Linked DNA regions of Notamacropus eugenii. The protein of the gene in region 1 interacts with the protein of each later gene in a biochemical or structural test. Links are inferred from orthologs where the notes say so. Each region holds a gene or a part of one and is shown in the gene's direction. Other genes may lie near its edges.

Region 1 (7,577 bases):
AGTAAGGGGGGTGAAGGGGAGAGTCACCGAGGAGGAAGAGGCCAATGAAAGGAAAAGAAGGAAAACAAGAGGGAAGAGAGCGAAGGAGAAGGGATGGGAAAAGGGAGGAGGAATGGGGAGACGGAGAATGCAGGCAAGGAGAGGGGAAAAGGGATGGCGACAGCTGGGACCAGAGAGCTGGAGCCGGAAAATAAAGGATGGAGATAGAGATACGGAATGAAAGATGCGGATCTAGATGGATGAATGAAAGATGCGGATCTAGATGGATAGAAATGGTGATGGTGGTGATGGAAAGAGAAATGGGGAAGGAGGGATGGAGGCATGAGAAATAGGGACAAGACAGATGGAAAATTGGGGGCTGGAAAAGAAGCAGGCTAGGAAAGGACGCAGGAGCCAGGAAGGACAGAGCCTGGGCACCTGGGATGAGGGATGGAGGTTGCAGGGTGTCGCACTCACCTGCTCCGTGGCTGATGTTTCGGGATGACTAGGGGGGCTAGAGGCTGTGAGGGGTTAGGGGGCTGCGGGGGGCGCCAGGCCAGGCGCATGGTCAGGGGACTAGCGGGCGGGGCGCGGGAGGAGGCGCCCCGGGTGTGGGGCGGCGGCAGAGGCTCAGTTCAGCTCTGCTCAGCTCGTCTTGTCTTGTCTTGGCTAGGCGTCAGCTCAGACCTTCCGTCTCCGCCTGCCACGCACTATTTAACCCTCCTGTTCCCATGCCGCTGGGGATCCGGGGATCCCCGGATGGTCTGGGATGTGGAGTAGAGGAAGGCTGTTGGTCATCCTGAGATTCCAGGTCGTGCCTATATGACTTTCAGTATATCTACCTACTCTTCACCATAAGAAGCGTATCACCTCATTTGAGTATCGTTCCAACTTCCTATGTTCCCACTTTGTCACCCCAATTCCATCTCACTTCATGTCCCCCACATCAGGGTCACCTGAACTCTGGCACCCCAGTTCTGCATCACTTAATTCCATGTGATCTCAATTCATATCCCCTACCAGACCACCTTCTTTCTTCTCCTTGGGACAAGGCCTAGAAAAACAGTGTAAAAATCCCAATCCTATTAACAACTTCCTGGGTTGTGAATGTATAGCCCTCAGGAATTACTGATATATATGAGGCAGGGACTTGGCTTCTAGGAAACTTTCCTGTGACTCAGATCACCCTCCACTCTCCTTTCTTTCCTTTTTCTTCTTCCATCCTTGGGTTAGTCTTTCATTTTCTATTTGCCTCTCCATCTACTCTTTCCTACACACTCCCACACCCACAAAGAATATAAACTATTTGAGATCAAGAACTGTTTTATTTTTCTCTTCGAAACCAAACATCTAGCATAATGCCTGGCAAATAGTGAACACTTAATAAATGCTTCTTAATTGAATGATTTTCATCTCTGATTGTAAAACTCTCTGTCCCCTATCTCTTTTCCCCCAATTTCTTTCTCTTAATTTTTTCATCAATATTTTCGTATTCAGGATCTAACGTTATATGCCAAGCTTCTTTCCCATCTTTTACCTTTGCCTACCATTTGGTTATTACCCAGAATTAGAAGAGAGATTATTGTTGAGGATAGGCTCCCAGAAGTTATCAAACGCTGTTGTGTTTCTGTCAATTTGTTCCACACAGCTCAGTGAAGAAGAGTCAGTTGTGCACACTGGAACACTTAGTGTGTGTTCTGTCTGCTGTTGGTATGTACCCTGGTTGTGCCATGCTAGATGTAAGTCCCCTTTTCATGTGTGTATGTTCAGTATGTACTTTGGATATATGTGTATGCTGGGTTTCTGCCTGGGATATGTGTATGTGCAATGGGTATTCCCAATCTGTAAAATTTGTGTATTTATATATGTCCATGTGTTGGGGGGGGAGGGAAGCGTGTAGGACATTGGGTCATTAGCTGAGTTCCATCTGCTGATTTTGCTACATTTCTTTAGAGTCATTTCTTAAATCCCTTTTGTTCCTGGTATTTTTTATAATCCTCGCATTTGTGCTGTGATGTTTCTTTACATAAAACTGAGCAATATGCCAGCATTTGGCATAACAATTTAACATAACTTTCAGTAGATGACTGGTTGAATAGGTCTGTTTTAGTTCTCAGTACTTTTCTTCTTCAGGTCTCTGTTAGACATTTTCTTTCTCTGATTAGTTATGTTTTCCAAGCTCCCCCTCAGCCTTATTAGCAGAATGCCCCGTGCAGACGTTGAGTTAATTTTTGTTGGGTGAATGAATAAATGAATTACTTGTTTGGGGAACTGTACAAAGTGAAAGACTCAATTGTTATCTTCTGCTGTTTCTCTATTTGTCTTCTCTATTTCTATCCTCTTTCTTTATCCTCACTTTTTATCACCTTTCTCATTTGCCTTTTCTGCTTTCCTCTCATCTATCCCTCTCTCATCTCTACTACCTGCTGTCCTATCTTTTTTTTTTTTTATCACCCTTTGTCCTTACTTCCCTTCCTCTCTCCCAGTTCATAAATAGAATCATACCCTCTTAGGAGTCAGAAAGGAATTTAGGATCTAATTCAACTTTGTCATTTTGCAGATGAGGAAACTGAGACATAGGTCAAATAACCTCCCCATGGGCACACAATTAATGAGTAACAAAATGTGGAACAATGGAGCTGGGCTCAAATCTTGACTATCCTACTTACTATTGGTGTGACCATTGGCAAGTTACTCAGCCACTTAAGGTCTATGTTCCTGTTGAATAAGGGGGTTGGACAGGGAAATGACACAAATTTATAGCATCAAGAGCCATTCCCAAGTACATAATTGACCAAAGGATATGAATAAACAATTTTCAAGAGGAGAACTGCAAACTACACATTTATCAAATCAAAACATGAATCACTAATAGAAAGAGAAATGCAAATAAGAAAAACTCACACCATGCAGATTGGCAGAGATGAAAAAAGATGAGAAGAGTTAATATTGGAGAGGCTATGGATGATGGTTAGGCATACTGATATTCTAGTCATAGAGCTAAGAAGTACCACCATTCTGGATTTCTAGTTGGAATCATATAAGAAAAGTAACTAAATTAATACTTTTTGCCCCAGCAGTCTCACTGCTGGGTACATAATGTAAAAGACAAGGAATAAAGGTCCAAAATATAACAAAATACCAAGTACTCTTTGTGATAGAAACAAACAAAACAAAGTAGGTGCTCCTCAGTTGGAGGCTGTTAAAAGAATGAGCTGTTACATGTAATAGAATATGAATGAAGTGAAAAAGTGCTGACCATGAAGAATTTGGGGAACTATGGGAAGATTTTATATGAACTAATATATAATAAGCAGGAGTAAAAGAAAAATATACAGAACCACAACACTGTAGTAGTCTTAATAAAAGGAATAATGGAATGACAATTTCTGAGAAGAGATGATGAAACATACCTCCTTTCTGACTGTCAGAGGGATGATTCGAGGACAGACTATTGTACCTATGTCTCGCATGGTCAGATGTTTTTGCTTAATGGCTTTTTTGTTACAAAGGAAAATTCATTCAGGAGAAGGGGTGGGAAATGGCTGTAATACAAAGACAAAGACAAAGCCTTAAAAAAAATAAAATGAAGAGAACGTGAAGACTTTTTGTCCTAGTAATGATGTGGAAATAAATCGATATTAACTGGAAAAATGTCAGAACAGATCATTGGTTATATGAATGTAATGGAATATTATTGTGTCAAATGAAATAGAAATAGGAAAAATTCAAACAAGCTTGAGATGAACTGATGCAGAATCAAAGCAATTGACGTGATGACTACGATAATGTAAAGGAAAATAAAACTGAAAGTTCATAACTCTGACAGATTATGACTTTAGAGTCTCATAAAAGAGATGGTGGACTATAGGCTACAAAATGAGAAATGCATTTTCAGGCATGGCTAATATATTAGTTTATAAAATATTTATTTTAGTTAACTATGCTTCCGTGTTACAAGAGAAGGTTCTATAGGGAGAGGAGAATCATTAGGACATCGATATTAAAAAATATAATCAATAAAACAATTTTTTAAATCCCAATAACAGACTCCGAAGAGCTCCTTCCTCACTGCAGAGAAATGGGGGACATAGACCTCGTCAGACAAAGCAAGATGTGCATGTTTTCGCTTAATTGTTTATCTTTTTCACGGGACTGCTCAATCTAGTAGAGGCGGGGGAGGAAGTGACTGATGCAAAGACAAAAGGCATCAGTAAAATGTATTTTTTTTAAGAAAAAATAATGGGTCGGACTAGATGACTTCTAAGGTCCTTTCCAGCCCCGAAGGTCCCTCTTCTCCCGGCTCTGTCTCCTTTTCTTCCCCGTCCCTTTCTTGCCCACGCAGCATCTACCGCGGTAAGCCCGCCATCACGCCGCCAGGACAGCTTCCCGGAAGGCTTTCCCTAACGGGAAGTGCGGGACGCTCAAACTTGTGGAATCCAGAGGCGTCTGCAATTATCACACAGCATTTCTAAACAATAAAGTTTTTTTGAAAGTCAAGGAGAAAAAAAACCCAGCAGTCGCCTGCCATTCTCCCGATGATGGCCAATCAGAACGTAGAAAGGGCCGGAGAGCCCTCTGCATCCCGCCCCGGGAGACTTCCGGAGCCTGTGACGTAAAGGAGCGGAAGTGGGGGCCTCGGGAGCGGGTCATAGAGTTTTGTGGCCAGAGTGGCCACGGAGGGAGGCAGTGGTAACGGTTTCTAGCAGCTGGCGGAGGTGAGGGAGGGGCCATCCCTCTAAGTGCACGCGAAGGGCGAAGGCGACAGGTAGCTGCTGCCCCACAGAGCCCGCTTTGGGGCTGCTGGGCTAGAGTCCGCAGCCCCTGGGTCGGCCCCCTTAAGGGCCGGGGGGAGACTGGAGGGGCGGGGGCGGAGCCCGGCGGAAAGCGAGAAGGGGGCGGGGGTCACGCGGGCCAGGAGGCGAGCAGGGGGCACGTGCCTCGCACGCGCACGCCCCTCCCCTCGAAGGGGGGGAGCTGGCAGAGCAGCAGGGTCCAGTCCTTCCCCTTAACCCTACGTTCCCGAGAGGGCGGCTGGGGGCGGGGGTTGCCCCTGTCTCCCGCAACACTAGTCCGAGTCTTTTCCTCTGACGAGCCTCCATTTGTAAGGGCCTCCCCCCACGTGGTCCTTCCTGCTTCCTTGCAGCTCCAGGCCTCCCGAGCCCCGTGGTCCCCCGCCCAGGCCAGCCATGAGCTCCGAGGTGAAGGTGACAGGGCAGAACCAGGAGCAGTTCCTGCTTCTGGCCAAGTCGGCCAAAGGCGCCGCCTTGGCCACCCTCATCCACCAGGTGCTGGAGGCCCCAGGCGTCTACGTTTTCGGGGAGCTGTTGGACATGCCCAACGTCCGAGAGGTGGGTACCTGTGAAGAGCCTCGAGGACCCTCTTAGGAAGCTCCGTCCACCGTCCCTGCCTCCCCCTTTAGATCAGAGCGCAGAGTGGCAGCCGGTGACTGCCACTGTTGAGCGGTATATCTGCCTCCAAACCCAGCAGGGTCCGCCGAGGTTAGGGCTACGAGGCCTCTCAGCAGCGAAGGCTGTTGTTGAGAAGCTGGAGACGTATAAGAGAATCACTTCCATTATTATTAACAAGTTCTTGTAGGTAACTAGGCAGATAGCTGGCGAAAGAGGAATGGGAAAGGCGTGGTCCTGTGAAAAAGTACCACGTAAGGGGCAGTGGCAAAATAGAGTGCCAGGCATGCAATCAGGAAGACTCAGCTTCCTGAGTTCAGATCTGGCTGCTGACACTAGCTGTGTGACCCTGGACAAGTCACTTCACCCAGTTCGCCTCAGTTTCCTCATCTGTAAAGTGAACTGGAGAAGGAACCATTCCAGTCAGTATCTTTGCCAGTAAAACTGCAAATGGGGTCACAGAGCCTGACACCACCGAACAGCTAACAAACAACCAAGGGGCACAAGATCTTCCAATTTTTTTTGATTCTGTGCCCAGTCCCATCAGTTAAACATTTTTTGAACAAACACCCCAAAATATATGTATTTTTAAATTATATGCATGAATTACTGTACAAATATGCTTTATGAAACATATACAAAAATAAGAATTTGAAAAGGATGAGATAAAGATGAAATGTTTTGAAATTTAAAACATTTTTTAGTACCATAGCAGTTTTTATGCTTAATGTCAGTCCAATGAGAGTATCCTGCTTGTTTGCACTTACTTATTTTCCTGTGTATGTCCTGTAAATAATATTTTGGTTAGTAATCTATTATGGGATCAGTGTAGTTAGCCAAACAATTGAATTTTTTTTTTGAAAATATATTTTAATATATTTTTCTGTAGAAAGATATACAATAAATAGTGAGCATACTAACTTAATTTAGAGTTATAATTCTTTGTGTAAGTATTTACCATATACAATGCAAATACAAGCAAAAGTGAATGTTCTCTGATTTCAACCCAGGAGAACATTTTCAGTATAAATCCATTCCTCTTTATATGGTTCTACTTAACAGATGGTGCGTTAATTTTCTGTTCATATTTGTATAGTGTAGTTTTGTTTTTGTGTGCATGTGAGGAACAGTCAGGAGACCAGTTTGACTAGACTATAGAGTGCAAGAAGCCAGTAAGTAATATATAATAAGTATGGAAAAGTGGGCCAGGGCCACATTGTGAAAGACTTTAAATGCCAAAGAAAGGAATTAATATTTGATTGTGGAGAGAGTATGGAAACCTTGGAGTTTATTAACTAGGGAGTTGACAATGGTCAGACCTGCATTTGGGGAAATCACTGTCAGGTCTATGGAGAAAAGTTTGGAATGGGAAGACACATAAGTAAGGAGACTAAATAGGAGGCCATCGTAATAAGGCAGGTGTGTGTTCATCCTTCGTTGCTGAAGAAGACCATGCCATCAGAAAAATGATGACATGTCTTGCACTTGTCTTGTTTTGAGTGAGGGAGGGCTGTGCAAGTCACCAGCCTCACTTCTCCTTCAGAGCCATCTGAATCCAGTGACCAGATATTCATCAGGATGACTGGAGATAATAAGACTGGAATGGAGGAGGGTTCAGATGAACAATCTGAACTAGGGTGTTGTGTGAGTGGAAAGACAGAAAAGGACTTCAGAGATGTTGTAGAAATATTCTATAGAAATGACAGGATTTGGCAAGTTTGGCTATGTAAGGTAATAGGAAGAGTCAGGGATAATAATGAGGTTGCAAATCAAGAGATACCCTTACAGGGACTTCTACTAGAGGGGCGAGTCTGGACAGAAAGATAATGAGTTCTGTTTTTGATTGTGTTTGAGATGTTTGTTGGACATCTATTTGGTACCGCTTATTCAGTTAGTGGGGAGAGAATTGGGCTGAATGTATAGATCTGGGAGTCCTCTGCATGGAGATAGTAATTGAACCCATGAGAGTTGATGAAAGAAAATAGAGATAAAAGAGGCCCAGATCCTTGGGGTACACCACCTGTACCCCATTGAGTATGACATGGATGATGAATTGGCAAAAGTGTCATAGAAGGAGCAGTCAAGCAGTAAAGAGACTCATGCCATGAATATTCAGAGAGGGGAAAATATGGAGGAGATGGTGATCAGTAATGCCCAATACTGCCATCAAGAGGGATTAGATTGAAAAGA
Region 2 (7,242 bases), on another chromosome or scaffold:
TATTTTTTCAATTAACCTTGTTCTCCAGGAAGTACAAGAAATAGTCACATCCTATCTTTTGTATCTCCAGAGTTTGTGGCAATACTTTATACACTACATAGGCATTTAAGAGATACTGATTAACTGTCACAGTCAGAAAACAAGTAATAAGACATTAGGGGGCCAGGAGGGTCAGCTGAGGGGACAATAACTCACATTTTCAAAGCTAGTCAACTGTCAGGTTTGGGCATATTAACAATTACATTCCATCACCTTTAGAGGTCATGTGGTACAGTGGAAAGAGCCCAGCTCATACAATTAGGTTCAAATACTACTTCTTTAACTGGGTAGCCTTATTCAAATCACTTAATCTTCCTCATGGGTAAAATAGGGGTGTTGGTCCCTTCCTACAACCCTCTGATCTGTCCACAATACTGTTTCTGCAGTTGGGAATCTAAGATCTCCCTGTATTCCCTTGTGAGCTACTTCAGCAAAGAAAAGTTTGTATCTATGAATTTCAATGATCCATGTTTTCCCATTCAGATTACCAGGTAACTAAGAACTGGCTGAATTTCCCTTCTGGTTTAAAAATATACAATAAATGCATTTCGATAAATAAGAATGGCCCAAGTACATAAGTGACTGATTTATAAGATATATGTTTATTTCTCTAACAGGGGACCGACTGGTACATGTGCAGAGCACTTCTGATGGGGTACCTGCTTCTGGGACCGTCATAATGATTGATCTTAGAGAGTACTTTGGAGCAGCACAGACATTCTGTAACTGGTTTGGATCCACTAAGAACATGGTGGATGGAGGCCTTTTTGGTTGCTGTTGGAGAATTAGAATTGAGGACACCTTCCAAAGGCCTTGGTCTCCTTTTTGGAGGATCTCTGTTCTTGGTTTGACTCCTTTGCAGATAGTGGCCTGGGAGAGCCTATGGTACAAGGAGAGAGGCTTGGGTCCTCCCCTTCTAAGGCTGACATGTGGTCCTGTGAAAATGGGGCTAGGGCTGTGGTCTTTTGTTTTAGGTGGAGGAATTGAAGCCAGGTCCTTGAGTTTAAAACACCAAAACCAAAATCAGGAGTCTGGGTAGTACAGGAGTTGAGTCTATGCTGGGTTTTTTCAGCTAGCCCAGTGTTGATGTCCCAAGGAGTAATATTTGGGACCAGTCCAAAAGGACTAATTCGCAGTGATGCCCCATTTGGGTGTGAACTTGGTGTAACCAATGCTATATAGAAACAGTGCCACTGTCCCCAGAAGCCAAGGTGGTTCTGAGCGTGCCCTGCAAGGTGCCAGGAAGGGGAAAATGTTTGCACTTTTGTTCTTCCTGTATCTTCAAAGTCTATCTTCCTCTGAAAAATTGTTTCATGGTGACATGGAACTGGGGTGCTGCTGGTCAGTCTCTGCTAGAGTAGAGGGTGACAACAAGTGCAGTACAAGTTAATGACAATGGAGAAAAGTCAACCAGCTTTTGGGTGCAAACCCCTAGAATAGTAAGGGGGCAATGAAGTCATTTTGATTCTGGCAAAGTGGGTCAAACTCTACTTGCTATCCTCCAAACACCTATAGTTAGGGCAAGCCAAAAATATTTGATGGTCTCACCACTGTCTTTTCAAATTCCTTTAAAAAAAAATCGAGTTATACTAGTTATGTAGCCAGAAGGTGACAGTAGAGAGGACTGAGACAGAAAAAGCAAAAGCTGGATGGTGTACATCCTATAAGGAGATTCCTTCCATTTTGGTGCAGGATAGACTAGAAGGGTTCTGAGATCTTTTCAGCTCTAAAGGTTAGCATCCTCTGATCTGTGTGCAATTGAGGAACTGTCTTGTTCTTTTTGGTCTCAGAAGGCAGCCCTAGAGCACTGGGTGAAAACTGCGGAGGGAAATTTAGATCTGATGTAAGGGATGACTTTCTAACAATTACAGCTATCTCAAAGTACAATGGCCTCCCCCATGAGGGAATGGTTGCCAGTCACTCGATTTCTTCAAGCAGAGGCTACTCAGAATGATCACTTGTGTGTTGTAATGAGAATTCTTTGATGACACTATTTAGACTAAGTGTGCTATATAGTTCCTTCCAATGCTGAGATTCTGTGAAATATATTAAAAGTCACCTAAAGCATGTGGAAAAGGCAAGGTCCACACAGGTACAATACATGGTATGTTGTCTCATCTGTACCTTGTAAGCTCCTGGATTCTGTGGCCCCAGAACCAGAACAATGCAGAGCACAGCAGCAGTTTTGATTTACAGGTGAGAAAATTCAACTCATAAACTGAAATGTTGGAGAGAAGAACTTGAAAGAGATTTAGGAGGACAGAAATAAAGAGTAAAAACCTGGCATTAAAGTTAGAGAAAGGGGAAGAAAAGAGCTGCAACAGAGAAGAAAAAAGCTACTTCATTTGTAAATTACAACTAACCTTATTTGTAAAGAGCAGGGTGGGAAGGAAGAGAAAAAAATGTCAAGGATATAAGTTGGAGAGAAATAAATATTTAACATGAATACGAATGGGATGAATTCACTCAATAAAATGGAAGAGAGAAAAACGAATTAGAAAAAAAGAATCCAACAATGTTTAAAGAAACACTAGAAACACAAAGATTCTCAAACAGTTAAAATGAAGGGTTGAAGCAAAATCTATTCTACTTGTCCAGAATTCAAAGTAAGAAGAGACAGCCATCATGATTTCAGGTAAGGTTATAGTAAGTATAAACATAATAGAAACAGATAAACAGATAATTTACATTATGCTTCAAGGTACCACGGATGAGAAATTAACTTCAATACTTAACATGCATACACCTAATAGCATAGCATCTAAAAATTTAAAGGAAAATTTAACTGGAGAGCAGTAATAAATAGATAAGGGCTGAGAAAACTGGGCAGCAGCCTGGCAGAAACTAGATTTCTAACCCTGACACTGTATAACCAAGATAAACTACAAATGGATACACAATCTAGAGGAAAGCACAACATAAATTAAAGAAGCAGGGAAGAAACTGCCTTCCAGATCTATGGATAGAGGAAGAGTATATTAATAAATAAGCATTAAGAGAGGTTCATATGATAGAAAATGAACAATTTTGGTTGCATGAAATTAGCTTTTGCATGAAAAAAACCTGTCAAAAATGAAAGAAAAGAAAACCATCACAAATAGGCATGGTCCAGCACAACATATTCCCATTGCATTTTGAGTTGGTTATCTTTGGCAGGAAGCCAGTGGTGTTTTCATCTTCAGTCTTCTGGACTCAAGGCTTTTCTCATTGCCTTGGTTACGGTTCAACTTTCAAAGTTTTTTCTCTGTGATATGTTCATTTATAAATTACTCTCCCAGCCTTTATTTAGCTCAACTGAGTTCATAGGGATCCCTTCAGTTTTCTTTGAAACTATCCATTTCATCATTTTTTTGGGCGCAATAGGATTCCATTAAACTCACATCATTTATTCATATAATAGGAGGAAAGCTGCTTAGTTTCTGAATTTTGGTTACAACAAAAAGAGCTGCGATGAATATTTTTTCCTCTTTCTTTGATTTCTTGGAGGCAGAGTCCTGGTAGGGACAAAAGTCGGTGACAGGTGGAAAACACTTTAGTAACTTTCTGGGAATGCATCCACTTGCTTTCCAGACTGTCTGGCACAGTTCACAGCTCCACCAGAAGGGCCCAGGTAGGTCCTTGTTCTTCCACAATCCCTCCATGGAGTCATTTCCATCAGCCATTTTTAATCTCTGTCAGTGTCCTGAGTGTGAGGTGCATCTTCCAAGTTGATTTAATTTGAATTTCTCTAATTATTAGAGATTGACAGTATTTTTTCCCCAAAGATGATCGACAGCTCGGATTTTTTTCCTTTGAAAGTCATTCACATCATCTGAGCATCCGTTTGTTGGGGGGCGGCGCTCAAGTCTTATCAATTCAGTTCCGTATGGGTCTTGGCTACGAGGCCTTGATCAGAGAAACAAGCTGGCATTTTTTTTCAAACCTTAAAGGGCCATGGAAGCGTTGGTTTTAAGACTGTTGTTGTTTTTATCCCACCTGTAACACCTGCTGCCTCTTTCCACCACGTGTAAAATAAGGAGGCCCCCCAAAATCCAAATATTCCCTCCCGTTTCCTAAACAGAAACTTAACTGGCTGCCTGCCCCTGTCCCGCCCCTGTCCCGCCCCTGTCCCGCCTCCGTCTTCCGGCTCCGCCCACACTTCCGGTGGTGAGAAAGGGAAGAAGGCGAATAGACGCTCTAGCCTGCTCCCGCCTTCTCGACGGCACTTCCGGTCCCTCTAGCCGAACGCTGGAGGCTTCCACTCGTTCTCTCTTCCGGGAGAAAGAGTGACGTCCTTTGCCGGGGCTGGGGGCGGGGTCGGGGCCGGAGCGAAGATGGCGGCGGCGGTGCGACAGGACTTGGGCCAGCTAATGAACTCGAGCGGGTCTCACAAGGACCTGGCGGGCAAGTGAGTGCCACCCCGGGGGAGGCGGGAGCGGGCGGTGCGGAAGAGCAGGAGGGTCTCGGGCGCGGCTGGCGGCCGCCGATGTCGGAGGCGGGGCCCGCCGGGGCCTCCGGAGGCGTTGGGATGGGGAGCGTGGAGGGGGAGGGGAGCGGGGGCGCGCATGCGCGGCAGGCCCGGCCGGCTCGGCGCTGGAGCTCTGTGGGTCCCGCTCGGGGCTCCCGGGAATGCTGAGCGAGCTCGGAGCCGGGCCTCGGACCCTCCTCCCTTTGCCCCTGTACCCGGAGATCTGGGGTACAGCCTCTGACAACGCCCCCAGACCGTGTCCCGCTTTCCTCGGCTGCAGCCCTGCCGCCTCTCATGTAGTGTCTCCCTTAATCCCGTATCTTGTTGGTGCCTATTAAATGCTTGTCTGACCGAGAAATTCTGGGCCCCGAGCCTGGGCGGTCATGCAGGCAGCCCTTCTTGCCCAGGGCCATTGTGCCAAGGAAGCATGCTAATCACGGAACGTTTATTAAGCCTCTCCCCTGTGCCGGGCACTGTGCCGAGCCCTGTGCCGAGCCCTGGGGAGACGGGGTAAGGAGACAGCCCCTGGGGGGGTTACAATCTAAGGAGTTGCTTCCCAGAGAGGGGATGAATCGTCTGTCCTGGGTGTTGGAAAGGCCTTGATGATAAAGGTCTGCATGGTTCTGAAAGGGGAAGGGGCGTGGGGGGAGTGGTAGAAAGGACACCAGATTTAGAACCTGGGCCCTGGGTTCAAATTTCGCCCTCCTTCAAGTTTGGTCAAGACTCATAACTGTTCTGAGCCCTAGTGTCCCCGTCTGCCAAGTAAAGGATTGGACGAGTTGATTCGGAAGCCTTTTCCAGCTGTAAATCTGAAGTGCTTTCCAAAAGCTCACAGTCTGCTGAGGGAATACCACGAGTGTAGAATAAGTGCCATAGACGATCGAATCCTTGGTGTCCTTAAGAGTTCAGCTCTTGTTTACCTGCTTCCAGAGGCTAAGACCCACCTGCCAGTAATTGAACTGTCAAAGGATATGAATAGACAATTGTCAAATGACGAATTGCAGACTGATAGCTACAGGAGAGAAGGCTTCAGATCAGTGATAAGAGAAACACAGATCCCAACAGTACTAAGGTTTCATCTCATACCCAGAAAATTGGCATAGGTGACAAAAGGAATAAGTATTCAGTGTGGAAAGACAGGCACACTGATACATTGGTGATGAAACTGTGAATTAGTGCAGCCATTCTGGAAACTTGGAATGATACACATAAAATGGCATATTCCGAGGAATTCATTGATAAAGAGAAAATCTCCATATACACCAGAATATTTGTAGCATCGCTTCTTGTGATAGCAAAGGAGAGGAAACACAAGATTGCAGACTTGGAAAAATTTCCAGATTTGCTAGGGATAGCCAGAACGCTCGAGGACAGTCAGGATTCAAAACATTCTTGAGAGGCCAGAATGTTTGCTCAGTTCTTATAGTCTGAGATTTAATAGGGATGAATATAAAGTCTTGCAGTTAGATTAAAAAATAAACCGCACAGATACAAGGTAACAGAATGTGGTGGACTAAAACAGTAGAGGACATTTTTAAAATAAATATGAAACATCAAAACTTGGTCTTATTTGGGAAAGAGGAAAGGCAACAGGTTGTCTTGCTGGATGTTGATAGGTGTAGACCTGTCAACCCCCAAGATGGGGCGTAAGGGGAGAACAGATGCACGAGTCACGCTAGGTGGTCGTCTGCCTCGGCCTCCTGTGTCTGCTGGTATGCTGTTAATGGATTTCATGCTTGGTGTCTGCTGGTGCTGTTATCTGCCACTATTCCACCCAAAGGGCATATTAGGCTTGCTGTTTCAATGTAGACTGGTGCCAGATTGACTGTCTCTTAGTAGATACCCCACTATTACTGCATTACATTTATTTGTAGACAAATTTGTAGACTATTACTGCATTACATTTATTTGTACAGTAAGTATGTCAGTGGGGCACACGTTAACTGAACAGCAGTAATAACTAGTCAGGAAATAGCACTTTAGGATATTAGGAAAGAAATTAGTTTTGTCAAAAAGTGAAAAGACCAATAATTGGTTTTGCCGAGAACATGAGTGGCTTCATATGCCCCATAGGAATAAATAAATGTAAGAATGAATCTCAAATATTCCCTCTAGTAAGTGTGAGTGTAGGATTGTGTCAGCATATTAAAATCTGGGTCATGTGCTGGAGTTGTGATAGTGGACAAACTTTTTGAATAAAAGCCCGACTCACCTCTGACATTGTCTTCTGTAAATATAATCCAAAGAAGAAATGCTGATTGACTCATGAAACAAATGTGTATTTTACGAACCCATGTCACATCACATTCATAAACAATCTGAGAAACGAGTCATCAAGATAGCATATTGGGATACAGATATCTTGGGAAGTATAAGGTTCCCCACAGTGAAGATCTTTAAGAAGGCTGGATAAATACTTGTTCTCTTATTGAGCACAGGTGTCAAGCAGCCTACTGAATTAAATTAGATTAATTAGATGTATATTAGATTAATTAAATTTGATGTAATTGGGAAATATTTAACAAAATAAAAATACAACATAGGTTACGTTACATTTTAAATCTAAGTCAACATGAGATAATTTTCTCATCCTTTTCTAATATTTGTCTACAGTTTATTATGTTTGATTGCATAGTTTAAAATACTAATTAGAAGGGTGAAAAGTATACCGTGATTTTGCTTTTGACAGTAGTGAACTTTGGTATTCACTCAACAAACATGAAGCACTTCCTATGTACCAGGCACTGTACTAGGCA

Evidence for each region. The genes of interacting proteins can lie anywhere in the genome.
Region 2: the proteins of COPS7A (region 1) and COPS4 form a complex in vitro, tested with the Homo sapiens proteins (2 studies listed by BioGRID). The link is inferred for Notamacropus eugenii from reciprocal best matches to the Homo sapiens genes COPS7A and COPS4.

Annotation. Positions count from the first base shown.
Region 1 is NC_092874.1:194,985,062-194,992,638, forward strand, and holds the start of COPS7A (COP9 signalosome complex subunit 7a), read left to right. Parts: upstream 1-4,566; 5' UTR 4,567-4,747; intron 4,748-5,125; 5' UTR 5,126-5,168; coding exon 5,169-5,330; intron 5,331-7,577.
Region 2 is NC_092878.1:150,618,966-150,626,207, forward strand, and holds the start of COPS4 (COP9 signalosome complex subunit 4), read left to right. Parts: upstream 1-4,222; 5' UTR 4,223-4,352; coding exon 4,353-4,426; intron 4,427-7,242. UniProt on the Homo sapiens protein: Component of the COP9 signalosome complex (CSN), a complex involved in various cellular and developmental processes.